Caenorhabditis elegans: one gene and its partner. Each later gene encodes a partner of the first gene's protein in a complex. Each region holds a gene or a part of one and is shown in the gene's direction. Other genes may lie near its edges.

Region 1 (7,776 bases):
GAATCTTGATTCATAATTTTTTCATTCTTTTCATAGCACATCGTCGAGGCGCCGGCTCCAATAGAACTTGCTACATTTGGCATCAAACGAACAATGGTAGTGTTTCCCGAAACGAATGGCAACTGGAAAAATGTTATGTACAGCAAATTATGATTTCTAAAATTATTTTATAACTGCTTATAGTAATCACCTTCGCGTTGAGAACTTTTAATGGAACTCCAGCCATTACAGAAATAATAAATTCTGGTCTTGAGTTTACAGGCCAGCTTGACACAACTTCTTCGAAAACTTGAGGTTTCACACAAATCACATAGATTGCCGTCGAATATCTTTCCAGCATTTCCAGTGTGTTTGTGAAAACGTTTTTATATCCTAGTTGCCTCCATTTCTCAGCCGATTTTTCCGTTTGAACGCCAATTACAATATTGCTTTTCGGTGTAAAGCCTAAAAATTAGAAAACAATTTAATTCAAATCAACGAGGAGAACAATTTTTTAACTCACCTTTATTCTGGCATCCTTTTATAATTGCAGCGGCCATATTTCCACCTCCGATGAACACGAATGGCACAGACTCTGAGGACCCGTTTGTCAATTCAGTATCGATAGTCATGGTTTTGACTGAAATCAATAATAATTGTTTTTGACACAACAAAAAGCAACATATTAAAAAAAAAAGAAGAAGACATGAGCAGAGGTTTGCCCGCTTAACGAGATTCTGTTTCTCAACTGCGTCTCTGTGCGTTTAACATATAACTGGGTTCTATTTTATGTCTCTTGTTAGACGTCTAGACGTCTAAGTCTCCATTTATATAAAAGTTACAATAAGATATATTATGGTACATGCTGGGATCATTTTAGTACCGAAATTGACATGAAAAACTAGTATTCTATAAAAATTTGTATCTTAAAACCGTGAAAGGCACAGAAAGTCACCTAGATGATTATTTTGTCATCATTCCAGAGGCCGTATAGATAATAAAATATATTTGTCATCGGTTCAGTTTTGTCATCCTGCTCTGGAAAATAATTCAAAACGTTCAAACCACGAACAAAACAGTAGGAACAGGTGAAACACAGAAAATAAACACTTCAAAATTTCTTTAAAAAATGTAAAATTATTTTATTTATGATAAAAACTTGAAACATCTGAGCAGATACGGTAGACATATTAAAGGCGCATGCTGAATATTGGAGATGGGTTTTGGGACGAAAAACTACGGTCTTTTTTCGCCTGCCCGCGCAAATTTTAGGCGCGAATTTCTCTATATTTACACGAATCTTAATTCTTTTGGATATCATTTTAATTTTCAGTTATTTTCTCGCCTCATCCTAATAAATCGTTTCAGACTATTTATTTTTGATAAATATAGTGAAATTTCTGAATTTAAAGAAGTTTTCCGGTCTAAAATTACGTTTAAAAAAGCTGTATAGTTAGGAACACGTAATTTCCACGTTTCGATCAATTTTTACTGAATGTGTTAATTGTTTTTCATTATTTAATTTTTGTTCAACACAGTTAAAGGTAAGGAAATGTATGAGATTTGAAACGCTTTTCGTGTTTAGTTATTGGTTTTTTGCTTCAAAATTCAACTATTTGGTTCAAAAAAGTCTTGTTTCTCTCACTCTAACACTTGGAAATTGCGCCCTGCTGACACTTATTTCGGCGGCGAAAAACATTTTTTGAAATGAAATTGTTCACTCATTTTTATAATCGTTCTTCTGTTAAATTTTTTAATTAGAGATACCAGTGTATTATAATGTCGTATTTGCAGAATGGGTCGCCTAGGCGAAGCAAAAGCTGTGGACTTGGAAGCGGAAACGTCGACTGTGGGCCTTTATGATGTGTGCACCGTTGGGCGAATCCTTCCCCGTAAGAAAATAAAACTATTATCTTTATGATTAATGTAATTAAATGTATGTTTCAGTGTTAAATGAGATGTCAATCGATAAGAAATCTCCGGCATGGAAGCTCAAACCGAAAAGTAACGAGCGATTTCTTGTTCTTGCGTCGTGCTCCGATCTGGCAGTCTTCAGTCTTGGCGAGAAAAGCGACTACTCGTTCAACACCGGACTTGGAGGTATGAGCTATTTCAGAGTCTCTGGAATGATTTCTCAACATTTTCAGGAGCCATCACTGATTTCGAAATCCTTGGAAGTTCTTCCTTCTTTGTTGGAGTCATTGAACATCGTCGTATTGTAATTCTCTCGCTGGATAAACAAGAAATTTACTTGAACGAGCCAGCTCCTCATGAAATTGACTTCGTTGTCTGTCACACTACTTCCAGTGTTTGCCAATTGATTTTCGGGAGCCGATCTGATAATTGGCATACTATCACATTGCCAGGAGACGTGGCTGCATCTAAGGAGACTAACCGTTTCGAAAATTGGCACAGAGATCAGATTCAGGAATTTTTCCACCAGGTAACGCTCATCACATTCATTTAAAGTTTCAAATTAATTTTAATACTCTCTTTTCAGGCAATGGGAAAAACGGTTTCAAAGTCTGTTGACATGTCGAAGGTCGCAGGTGACATTACTCTGATCTCCAATGGGCCACTTCAGACGTTCGCTTCAATTGATCAGCAAAGAGGGATTCACTGGTGTGGTCTCGTCGAATCGGAGTTTGAGGTGATTGGCATGGAAAAACAATTCTTGCAAGTCCGTGATGGAGGTAGATTCTCTCTTCACCTCGACACGGATGGATGGATTCATGTCTTTGATTCATTGGTATCATCCTTCTGCCACGAATTTGACATGAAGATGTCTCCAGACGACAAAATTCTTGATTTTGTGATCATTGACAAGAATGAAGTTGAAGTTCCGAAGATGTTCGCAATTTTGGTTCTGCCACGTGACGGAGATAGCACAAAGGTATTTGAATCGTATTTGTTAAATTTTAATAATTTCTTTTTAGATGATGATATACGATCGATTGAATAAAGACAATTGTTTCGCTTTGGATTCATCCACGTCTACAACTCTTTTTGCTTATGGAGGAAGTGATCGTGTCTTGATAGCCGTTGAAGAATTGGAAAATTCTCTGGCAGACGAACAGGACGGCAGTCAAATTGTTGTCAGACAAGTCTCACAGTCTCGCCCTGAAATGCGTTTCGAATCTCTTCTGAAGAATAACAGATTTGAAGAAGCTGAGAAGTTCGCCATGGCATTCATGCTGGATGTACAAAAGGTTTACAAAGGACACGTACATTATCTGATGGACTCTTGTGATGAAAGCGATGAATCTTTTGAGACTCTGATGACGAAGATGGGACAAATTCAAGATCATAATATGGTTGCTGAAACATACTTCACTCTTGTTGGAATGAGTCGGCGCTGTGATCGTATCCGCACCTACTTGACTCATGCAAAGAAGCGCAGAATAACGGATCTGGATATTCTGAAAATGATTGAGGCACTTTGCTACACGTGGGGAACTTATCGAATCATTGCTGGTCCAGAAGAAAACGAACCAAGTCGTCCACAAGTTAATGAAACGATTTGGGATTTGTTCGTCGAAGCTTTGCATGATGCGAACCCGTGGATCGAAATCTATAATGAATTCATTTCTGACGCCCAGTTCACTGTCAGTTTCAATCTTATGAAGTTTTTTGTACTCAATCATACAATTTTTCAGCAAGCCCGTGTTATCTTCAGTCGCCATGGGAAATCTATAACTGATTATATGTGTGATGATGAGGAGAACACCATTTCTCGTCTTGAAACACTTTTCCGAATGTTCATCGATGCGATTTCTTCTGATATCAGCAAATGGAGCAATGTGATCGAACACGTAACGACAGACATTTTACCAGCATGTGTCATGATTACAGAAGAGGTGATTTTTAAATTAAAATTTAACTATGTTTAAATCTTTCTTTTTCAGCTAATTCCATGCCTCGAATCACTCATCACTTCTCTTATTTCACTTCTTGAATATCGAGATTCTACAAATTGGCCTGAGAATGCAATCAAAGCAGCAAGCAGTTACGATACCATGACCAAAATATTGTCGAACAATGGAAATACTCCAGCTACACAATGTATTCTGGTAATGTATGGAAGCAAGTTGGGATCTTCTGCCGGTAACAAGCCTTCGTCAATGTCACGGATCAAGAAGATATACTATGATTTGATTGAATTGAAACGCCTGAAAGATGTTTACGAGTGTTCAATCAGTTTCTCAGTATTCCAAAATATGTCATCTGAACAAATTTGCCACAAGATTCTTCAAAATGCGTTGGCCAACCCAAACATGACACATGCCAAAATTGAGAAATTCGTGAAGCCGTTCATGGCTGAACGTCATCTTGATCAGGAACAAACAATCGTCAATTATATCCAGATGATGTCAGGAGCTGCAGTGACAAATGCAAATCTTTTTGGATGGGAGAAACAATGTGTGCAGTTATGTGCAAGTCTCATGGATGAAACTCGACGTTGTTGCTCCATCATCTCGATCGCTTCAACTGCTAAGATTCCATGGCCAGCTGAACTGAATGAAGCTGTGGAGAAGATCCTTGCAAGTCGTACACTCCTGAGATCAGAAATTGAACAAATGCATTTGGTTTGTAAACGTACCGAACTCTACAAGATGTTATCGTCGTATGGCTTCAGTCGACAGGACATCGAACTGCTGACTACTCCTGACTCAAATATGGACATTATCTTGACAATTCGCTGCATGCTTGCTCATCGTGAAAAGGCTTCTCGATTTGTGGATGTGATCAAGTTGGTGGATTTGCTCAAAGCAATGCAAGGAAGCTCTCAACCTCGTACATTGAGAATTGAATATGTGCAATCATTTGCAATTATTCATATGATGTCTCATCAAGATGTAACCATTTCAATTATCAATTACATTGATAGTCTTGGCGATCGTGAACGAGTAAAGACAATATCTCTTGTATTTTCATTCATCGAATGCGTTGCCAATGCACCAGCAACTGGAGACAACGTCTTGGAACGCGAAAAGATCCTCGGGGTTGGTGAAGAGCTGATGTCTCACTATACATGTCGTGATAATAATTTCAATGATCCTGAAAGACGTTTAAAGGATGAGCTTGTCCTTCTTCGCGAAGTCCAGAAAACTGAGACTAAAGCAGTTCTTTTGTCTGAATTGAAAGATGAAGATTGGCAGCGACGGTTCTTGGAAAGATTGATCGAATCAAATTCGTCGATGAGCTTGGTAATTTTTATTTAATATGAACGGAATATTTTTATTATTAATTTCAGAATCTTGGAAGATGTAGCTACATGGGAATTTCACCGGAACATCTCATTGAAATGATTTTAACGAAAGCTACGGTAGAAAACGACATGGACACAATTGTTGATAGTATCACGAATTATGTCGAGTTCATAAATTCATTGACGGATTCTTCTCGGGAAATGCTTGAACCTATCGTGCAAATTCTGAGCTGGATTACATTCAGACTTCCGAAGTTACTACCAAATGAGACTGAGATGGCACGTGCTGACTATGTAAGTGATGGTTTCTGCAAACTATAAAAATAATTGATTTTCAGATTGCTTTCGTTGTCAAACGTATCGGCCGTGTTGTTCGGGAGACACTCAGACGCTTCTCTTTTGATGTTATTAGCGACGATCTTGATTATCTTCTACAATTGGAAGCATTTTATCACTTGGGAGAGCACATTATCAAGCAGTCACTACGAGGCCAAGAGAATGAAAATGAAAAGCAAGAAATGTTCAGATCAGACGATGATACATTCTTACCAACTGATTCTTCGAATCCATTTTCCAATCAGTCATCTCTCCGCATTTTTGAGTTCAAACGCCCACTGGGAACATTTGATTTCTCCAACGATCCAGCTTTATTTGAAGGAGTTCAAGGAGTTCTTGCTCTTGCGATGGTTGCACCTTCTGTTGCCAGGCCATATGATTCTGAGATCTCACCAGATGATGCGAATGAATTCAGATCAAGTTGGGAGCAACTAAACATGTTCCTTGCAATGCATTCACAAGATCTTCTGGATATTTCAGCTCGTGTGTTTGCCGGATCTCTCAGTAAGATTTATTTCCATTTTCAATTTTTTATTTTTCATTTCAGAATGTTGGGCTGGTGAATATCTACAAGGAATCGTTGAAATGGAGCAACCCATTCTGTCAGTCGTCGAAAGAATGCTGCAACAGAAAAAATTCGATTTCTGGCATGCAGTTACTCTTCTTGGTGGAATCCCGTTGGAACGATTAGACAGAGCTATAATCGATCTCCAGAAACGACAAGGTGTGAGAAGTTCGACGAAAGCGACAATCCAGTATCTTCAATTAGCTTTTGTGATGAGTTTGTTGGCTAGAAATATGGAAAAAGTTCCCACAATCGTTTCTGCTTATGAACAAAAGTATTTGGTGAAGAAGCTTGCTGAAGAAGGCATTCGTGTCTCAATTACTCAAGACTTTGTCGATAAAGTTCTACAACAGGCGATAGATCTGCGACAGCCACTCTCTCCATTGCGTCTTCATGAGTGAGTTTCATAAAATAATAGAAAAAATAATTTTGAATATTTCAGTTATGTCAAGAAGTATGTCGAAAAGTTGATTCGGAACTCGAAGATTTCAGTTGGAGAATACATGGTTCGATATGCGACTCTTCTCATTCGAAAAGCGTCTGTTGCTGGACGACACACTGATCGGGAAATTCGCAAAGAAGAAATAGAGAAGTACATCGAAGCAGCTAGAATCGCGTTGAGAGTAATAGTTGTTGAGTGATAATCTTTTGAAAATCTGTTTTCTTTTCAGATTGCCGAGGAAGAAGATGCTTCTTGCATTTGTAATTATCTCCATTGTTTGCTTTACGTTGTGTGTCCATATAACTACGAAGTCATCCAATTTATTGTAACTTCGTATGGAAAGTATGCCACTGAAACAGTCGAGATTGAATTTAATAAAAACTTGAAATCGGTGAGCCAATATTTAAAAAATAAAATTCAATTCATCAATGATTCAGATAATGGCATTCTTATGGGCTTATCAACGTACAAATCATATCAGTAATGAGGAATCAATTTGGTTTACGAAGCGAGAGAGTGTTCTAATGAAAGATGAGAAAGAGTTTGAGAAAACTGGAAGAATGCTCGATCCATTTGGACATTCACTTCGTGTTGTCTATGAAGATGACGGAAGCAATATGTCAGATTCGTATAATTCGGATTTGGCACTTTCAAGTGATGCCATGGTTTATGAGAGGAACAGTGTGATTATCAGTGATCTGCCAAGCCTTGTATGTCGACTGGCAATCATTTAATTGAAATCAAAATATTCTTTAATTTTAGGCGGAGCAATATCTTCCATTCCATGCATTCCTTCTTCGCAAAAAAGAGGAAATTGACGAAATTGTGATGGGAATTGTGAAAGCAGAATTATCGATCTTCAATGTTCCAATCTGGCAAACATTCCTCCGTGAAGTTTCTTGGCTATCCTCACGGTTTTCGCGTTCGCAACTTTTGTCATCTGCAATTTTTGCTCACGCCAACAAATATGCAAAGTTTGGAAAGAGTCTACCAGATGGAGAACGAAACGTGATTTATGAACTTCTTAATTCTGCGTCTCAACGTCATGTTGTGGTTTCGACGATCGCTCTTCTATTCAAAAGAATCATTCTCAGTGATGTTAAAATTGAACTTCTTCAAATGGGAGTCAATATTTCGGAGAGATGGACTTCTGATTTAACTGGTGAAGAACAACAGGAAATGGAAGAACAAAGTGCTCGATTGAAAGACGGAATCGCAAAGTTTTCTACCGAACTTGAACTGAAA
Region 2 (5,065 bases), 470 kb from region 1:
AGCCGAAGGAAATTGTTCAATGAAATTATTGTACAAATTGGTTTGCAAGCTATTCATTGAACATTAAGAGCGATATTTTATTGATCATGATAATTATTTACAGATAAGGATAATATTACATTTAATGAATTACATAATTTCAACAAAAAAACAATAATTTGTCATGAAAACGGAAGAATTTGGAGGATGAGCAGCTCGGGCGGATCTGAAAAATTTAAATTAGAACTTTCATAATGACATCGCTGATATATAAATGAAAAAAGATTTTATCTGGTCTATTATCAGATTCGCTTAGTTTTTAGAGGCTTTTGGCTTAAATGAATGCAATTACAAAATTCTACACAATTCAATTGAGAAGTCTACGGTTTGGAGTCTTAACGTTCACAGAGACGTACAATCGAAAAGAACTGATCGCCCGCCACTATACAGAAATTCCGACTTCAAAAGAGCAGTGACAGCAAATTATAGCTGTTTCAACGATTTCAATGCCTCTATAAGTCCATATATGTTCGATCCGAAGATATTTCATTAATTTTTTGTTAAACTATTTCAATTTTTGTTCTTAAATCAATTTTTTCCTACTTTCTACAATTTGAGAATATAATACTCACGTGGGTGGCCTGGAGAAGCACATCCCTGTTTCATCCGTGCAATTTCCCTCGATTCGACGAAGTCTAGAAATTAAAAAAATTGATAAAATATGAGAGGGAAAGAGATTAACAAAAGGAATACACGAATTAAGGAGGGCGAATTAACAAGTCACGGTTGAAAAATACTTTTTTTTGCGAAAATGGCTGAAAAAAACGAAGAAAAACAATTCAAATTGAACTTTTTAGAGTCGAAATTGATTTTTCTCCCCCAAAAAACAATGAAGAAAATCATCATTCAAAACCGTGCGGAGGTTGCAGAAATGGGCGTATTGTAAGGCACGGTTCTGTGGGCGTGGCCAATCCCCCGAGTTGGGAATCCCCCCAGTTGGACATCCCCCGAGTTCTTCGGGTCTCAGTTTTGTTCAGTCTCTCGTTGTCTGCATGTCCGAAGTACGCAAACACGGATGTACACCGTACATTGGCGCCAATAATCATAATTATGCGCGCGTGGAACGAAGTTTGATTTCGATTTCAAATCATTTTACAAACTTTTGTTTTTATCGTTCAAAGGATTTTAAAATCGATTTTCAACGCGTTGCAACGTAATAATTATACGTAATAAGATCTTATTCTTCATAGAAACGTTATTGTTTTTATTCACGCGGCGCTCTTTTTTCAAAAAGTAAGCAATCACGAATGCTGAATTCTCAATTAAACATTTTTTAAATTGACTCTTTCCCCAGTCACTTGCCTGCAACTCATCTCCCGTTATTAATTTTCATCTCTGTGAACGCGTGAGTAACATTTTTCTGCTAAAGTGAGCGCACCGGTGTCTCGTTGTCGTTTTTATGTTTTCTATTTGCGGGAAATTTAAATGCTCTTGTCTTCATGTATTTGTTAGTTAATAATTCCGTAGAACATTTTCTTTTTCAGGCTGTGAAACTTAAAAAATGGCGTCATCCGAGGGATCCTATAGAGATCTTGAGAAAAAACTGAAAAATGGACTTACTTCAATCTCGCAGGACATTGTGGACAAGTATGGAAACCTGAAAGTGTCACTCAATGTTAACGCGACAGCCAAGCTTATTTTCGACCGACTTGAGAACCTCGAGGATATAGCTGAAATGTCTACTCGAAATCTGTCTAACTTAATTGATCAGACAGCAAAGGACAGCCCCGAAATGCTCGCAGAGATTAAATCCCAAGCTCAAAGCTGCGAAAATCTGGTGGAATTCCTGCAATCGGTAATGGTTCGAAAATAAGCATATAAAACAATTGAGTTTTCAGATGAAAAATGTCGAAGAACAATTGATAATTATGCGGAGTAAAACAACGAATCGTGTAGAATGGGGAACTGCTATTCTTGCTTGTAAAGATTTTCTCAATGACACAAACATGCTGCTTGAAGGAATTGGACGAGACGGTTTCGACATGAGTGTTCCATTGAAGCATTTTGCCGCAGAATATTCGGTTTTAAGCTACAATTGTCGTTACCAATTGTCCGCTGACTACGAAAGAGCAATGAATGTTCCAAAACTGTCAAAACAGAAATGTGGAGATCGTACAAATGTTTCTTTCTCAGTATTCAATGTTGGAAGCGTGGAAGATCAGAAAATGCTGAACGAAACTCTAAGTGCTATGAATATGATTGGACAATTACCAGAACGACTGGACGCTTGGAAAATCGTTATCTTGAACGTGTTCTGTGAAGCGATTGTTGCTAGCCGCGATGGTGTTGACGTATATATTGTGGATAATCCAACACCTGATCAGACAAGATTCTTGATAAACCAAAAACCACGTGGCAAGAAGGACAAGACTATTGATGTCGCAAAAGTTCTCGAGTGAGCGAAAACCACTTTAAAATTCTGAAATTTAATTAAATATGGTTGTTTCAGGTCAATGGAAGTGTTTTTTACGAAGTTGCACTCCGTTCTTCATTCTCACGAACTGCTGGACGCGACTGGAAAGACTTTCACGTCGATGATCGGAAGCGTTATTGAGGAACAACTGATAACTATGATACTGAAAGATGTAATTGCGATTGCAGCACCCGTCACTGAAACTGCTGACGAAGATCAGGAGATGTTCATTAATTTGTTGCAAATTGGAGAGGTCTTTGTCGAAAGAATGAAGGAGCTCGGATTCTTTTCTCAGAAAGCAAAGTTGCTGTTCACTCTTGACACGGACACAATTTTTGTGACTCGTCGTTGCTTTGCGATCGTTTCAAAAGCGAATAAATTGATAAATGAAACGTATGACAAACTGGTTACAGTTGGAGTTGATGATTCAGCCATCAAGGATATTGATTTGCTTGCAAAGGCTCATACACATGCCGAACATTTTGCTAAAGAATATGGAAAAGATCTTGGACGTCTTTGGAGCCATAATGAAGATTCGCAGTTTCCATCATTCTTCGCTTTCCAGAAATGTACAGTCAGGTAATTTTTTAAAGTGTTTATTATTTTTTTCTAAAAAATAATTTTCAGTGAATCAACTATCAACTTTGTCAATCTTCTCCGTGATAACGTGAAGGCTGCGTTTGCCTGTGAAGATGAAGGTGCTCGTGCGAAACTCGCTCTTACCGCCGAGAATATTGTTCGTCTCTACGTGATTCTCACACCAAGGAAGCATGCTGAGTTGTTCAGTTCGATCCCGAACATGGCTGCCATTTTTTACAACAACTGTCATTATATATCACACTGCATTATGACGATGTCGTTTGAGGCTAGTGGTGACAATCAGAAGACGTTATTGGAACCATTGCTCCTTGATTCTGTTATCAGATTGCGTACTGTTGCCGCTGATTGCATGGAAAAGACACTGACAAGATGCCGTCGCGAAATGACTGCTTATTTGGAGGATCATAGCATCTTTGAACACTTGCCTGCAAGTTATAAGACTACAAAGAATACATTTGCTGCTGCTGAAGAGATGTCCGAGTCGGCTGATATTCTTGTTCCGAGAGAAGAGCCAAAAATTATCAAATGTCTTGCCGCCTGCCTTCTTCATATTCGCCTTATTGCAAAAAATCTTCGTGAACCTTTGACTGAGGTGGTATACTGTAAGGTGATTGGATCACTCGTCTCGTTCCTGTTGGATTCTCTTGTGCGCCACGTTGTCACCACTTCCGATTTCCGCGAAAATGATGCTAACGTGATGGCTGACGTTTTCAAAAGACTTTTGGAAGTTGTTGCCAATATTGTCGCCTATAAGGAGCAGACAAAAGTGACCGATTTCTGTGCTCGAGAGTATTTCCGTCTTAATGAAATTGTGTTCGTTCTTGGAAACAGAATGCAGGTTGGTTTTTTTTCAAATATCGTGTAAAGTATTGTTTTGATGAAAGTGAAGTTTTGACCATGGAACTTTAGAGAAACTTTTTTAAAATAAAAAAGTTCTTCTAAAACAAGTGAAATTGCGAATATTTAAAGCAATTTATTTTCAAAAATTGGATTTTTTCAAATATTGGAAAAAGGAAAATATTAAAAGTTACCCTTTTTGAAATAGTGAAAAATCAAAAAAACACCCTTGTTTCGGACGTCGACTTTTGATGTTTTGATTTAACATAAATATGAAATTTACATGTGTTTTGTTCCGAAAGTCTAGAAATTATAAATAATTTTTATGCTAATTTTTCAGGATATCGAGCATCGATGGTTCAACGCTAAGGGTCCAATGGCAGAACATTTGAGCCGATCCGAAGTTGTTGGACTGATTAAAGCATTATTCGCCGACTCGCAACATCGTTCTGATCTTATCGCTCGTTTATAATGTGTATTAAACTAATTCATATTCTCTTCCACGCCAATACATTATTCATTTTTAATTTTTAACTGGCGTTGTGTTTCACTGTTTTACCGGTTTCCAGTATGTTTCCCCCAATGTTTTCTGAATAAAGTTAAACATCGGTGACGGTTTCCGATCAGTTCGCACTCGACACAATAGCCTTGGAATGTTGCCAACTTTTTTCAAATGCATTCCGTTGGCGCCCTCTGGAGAGTGCAGACAACAAGACGCCACTTTGAAAGGTCGGGGGCGCCCACCAGAAGGCGTATGTCATATGATGGTGGCACAGATGAAGGCGAAAGTCGAGCTTCATCACATTGAACCAGTTGTGACTTTTAATCCCGTCCGCAAGGGCCGCCCGTTTCCTTTCCCGGGCGGGCGACAATACGTTCTACTCTACTTATTTGTTTATTCTATTCTATTTCTCTCTGCAGCTTCTGCATTTATCCACCACATCGCAACAGCTTTCCTTTTTTCCGTTTTCTTCATATTCCTGAAGAAAATGAAAAGTGGTAATAAACAATTCGCGTTTTTTGAAGTGCCATGATTACTGTAGTCTTTTATATGTTTGGCTTTTGGTGGATATTAACTTACTCATTTTTTAAATGAAATTTGATACATCGCTTGATTCCTAGGTGATATTTCGAATCTTATTTCATTGGTTTTATTTGAAAATATAAATTCCTGTC

The links.
Region 2: rod-1 (region 1) and czw-1 share a complex: the UniProt entries of both Caenorhabditis elegans proteins name them as parts of the RZZ complex.

Annotation. Positions count from the first base shown.
Region 1 is NC_003282.8:7,476,679-7,484,454, forward strand, and holds the start of rod-1 (Kinetochore-associated protein rod-1), read left to right. Parts: upstream 1-1,773; 5' UTR 1,774-1,774; coding exon 1,775-1,871; intron 1,872-1,926; coding exon 1,927-2,079; intron 2,080-2,126; coding exon 2,127-2,422; intron 2,423-2,479; coding exon 2,480-2,872; intron 2,873-2,915; coding exon 2,916-3,584; intron 3,585-3,635; coding exon 3,636-3,836; intron 3,837-3,884; coding exon 3,885-5,186; intron 5,187-5,233; coding exon 5,234-5,482; intron 5,483-5,526; coding exon 5,527-6,028; intron 6,029-6,071; coding exon 6,072-6,486; intron 6,487-6,531; coding exon 6,532-6,712; intron 6,713-6,760; coding exon 6,761-6,922; intron 6,923-6,968; coding exon 6,969-7,241; intron 7,242-7,293; coding exon 7,294-7,776. Other genes in the region: pycr-4 (Putative pyrroline-5-carboxylate reductase 4), read right to left, coding at 1-122, 191-444, 503-611. UniProt on the Caenorhabditis elegans protein: Essential component of the mitotic checkpoint, which prevents cells from prematurely exiting mitosis. Required for chromosome segregation, the assembly of the dynein-dynactin and mdf-1-mdf-2 complexes onto kinetochores and spindle pole separation.
Region 2 is NC_003282.8:7,943,051-7,948,115, reverse strand, and holds czw-1 (Centromere/kinetochore protein zw10 homolog), read left to right. Parts: upstream 1-1,523; 5' UTR 1,524-1,540; coding exon 1,541-1,834; intron 1,835-1,877; coding exon 1,878-2,434; intron 2,435-2,488; coding exon 2,489-3,031; intron 3,032-3,079; coding exon 3,080-3,890; intron 3,891-4,229; coding exon 4,230-4,361; 3' UTR 4,362-4,496; downstream 4,497-5,065. Other genes in the region: F20D12.12 (uncharacterized protein), read right to left, coding at 162-205, 612-645. UniProt on the Caenorhabditis elegans protein: Essential component of the mitotic checkpoint, which prevents cells from prematurely exiting mitosis. Required for the assembly of the dynein-dynactin and mdf-1-mdf-2 complexes onto kinetochores.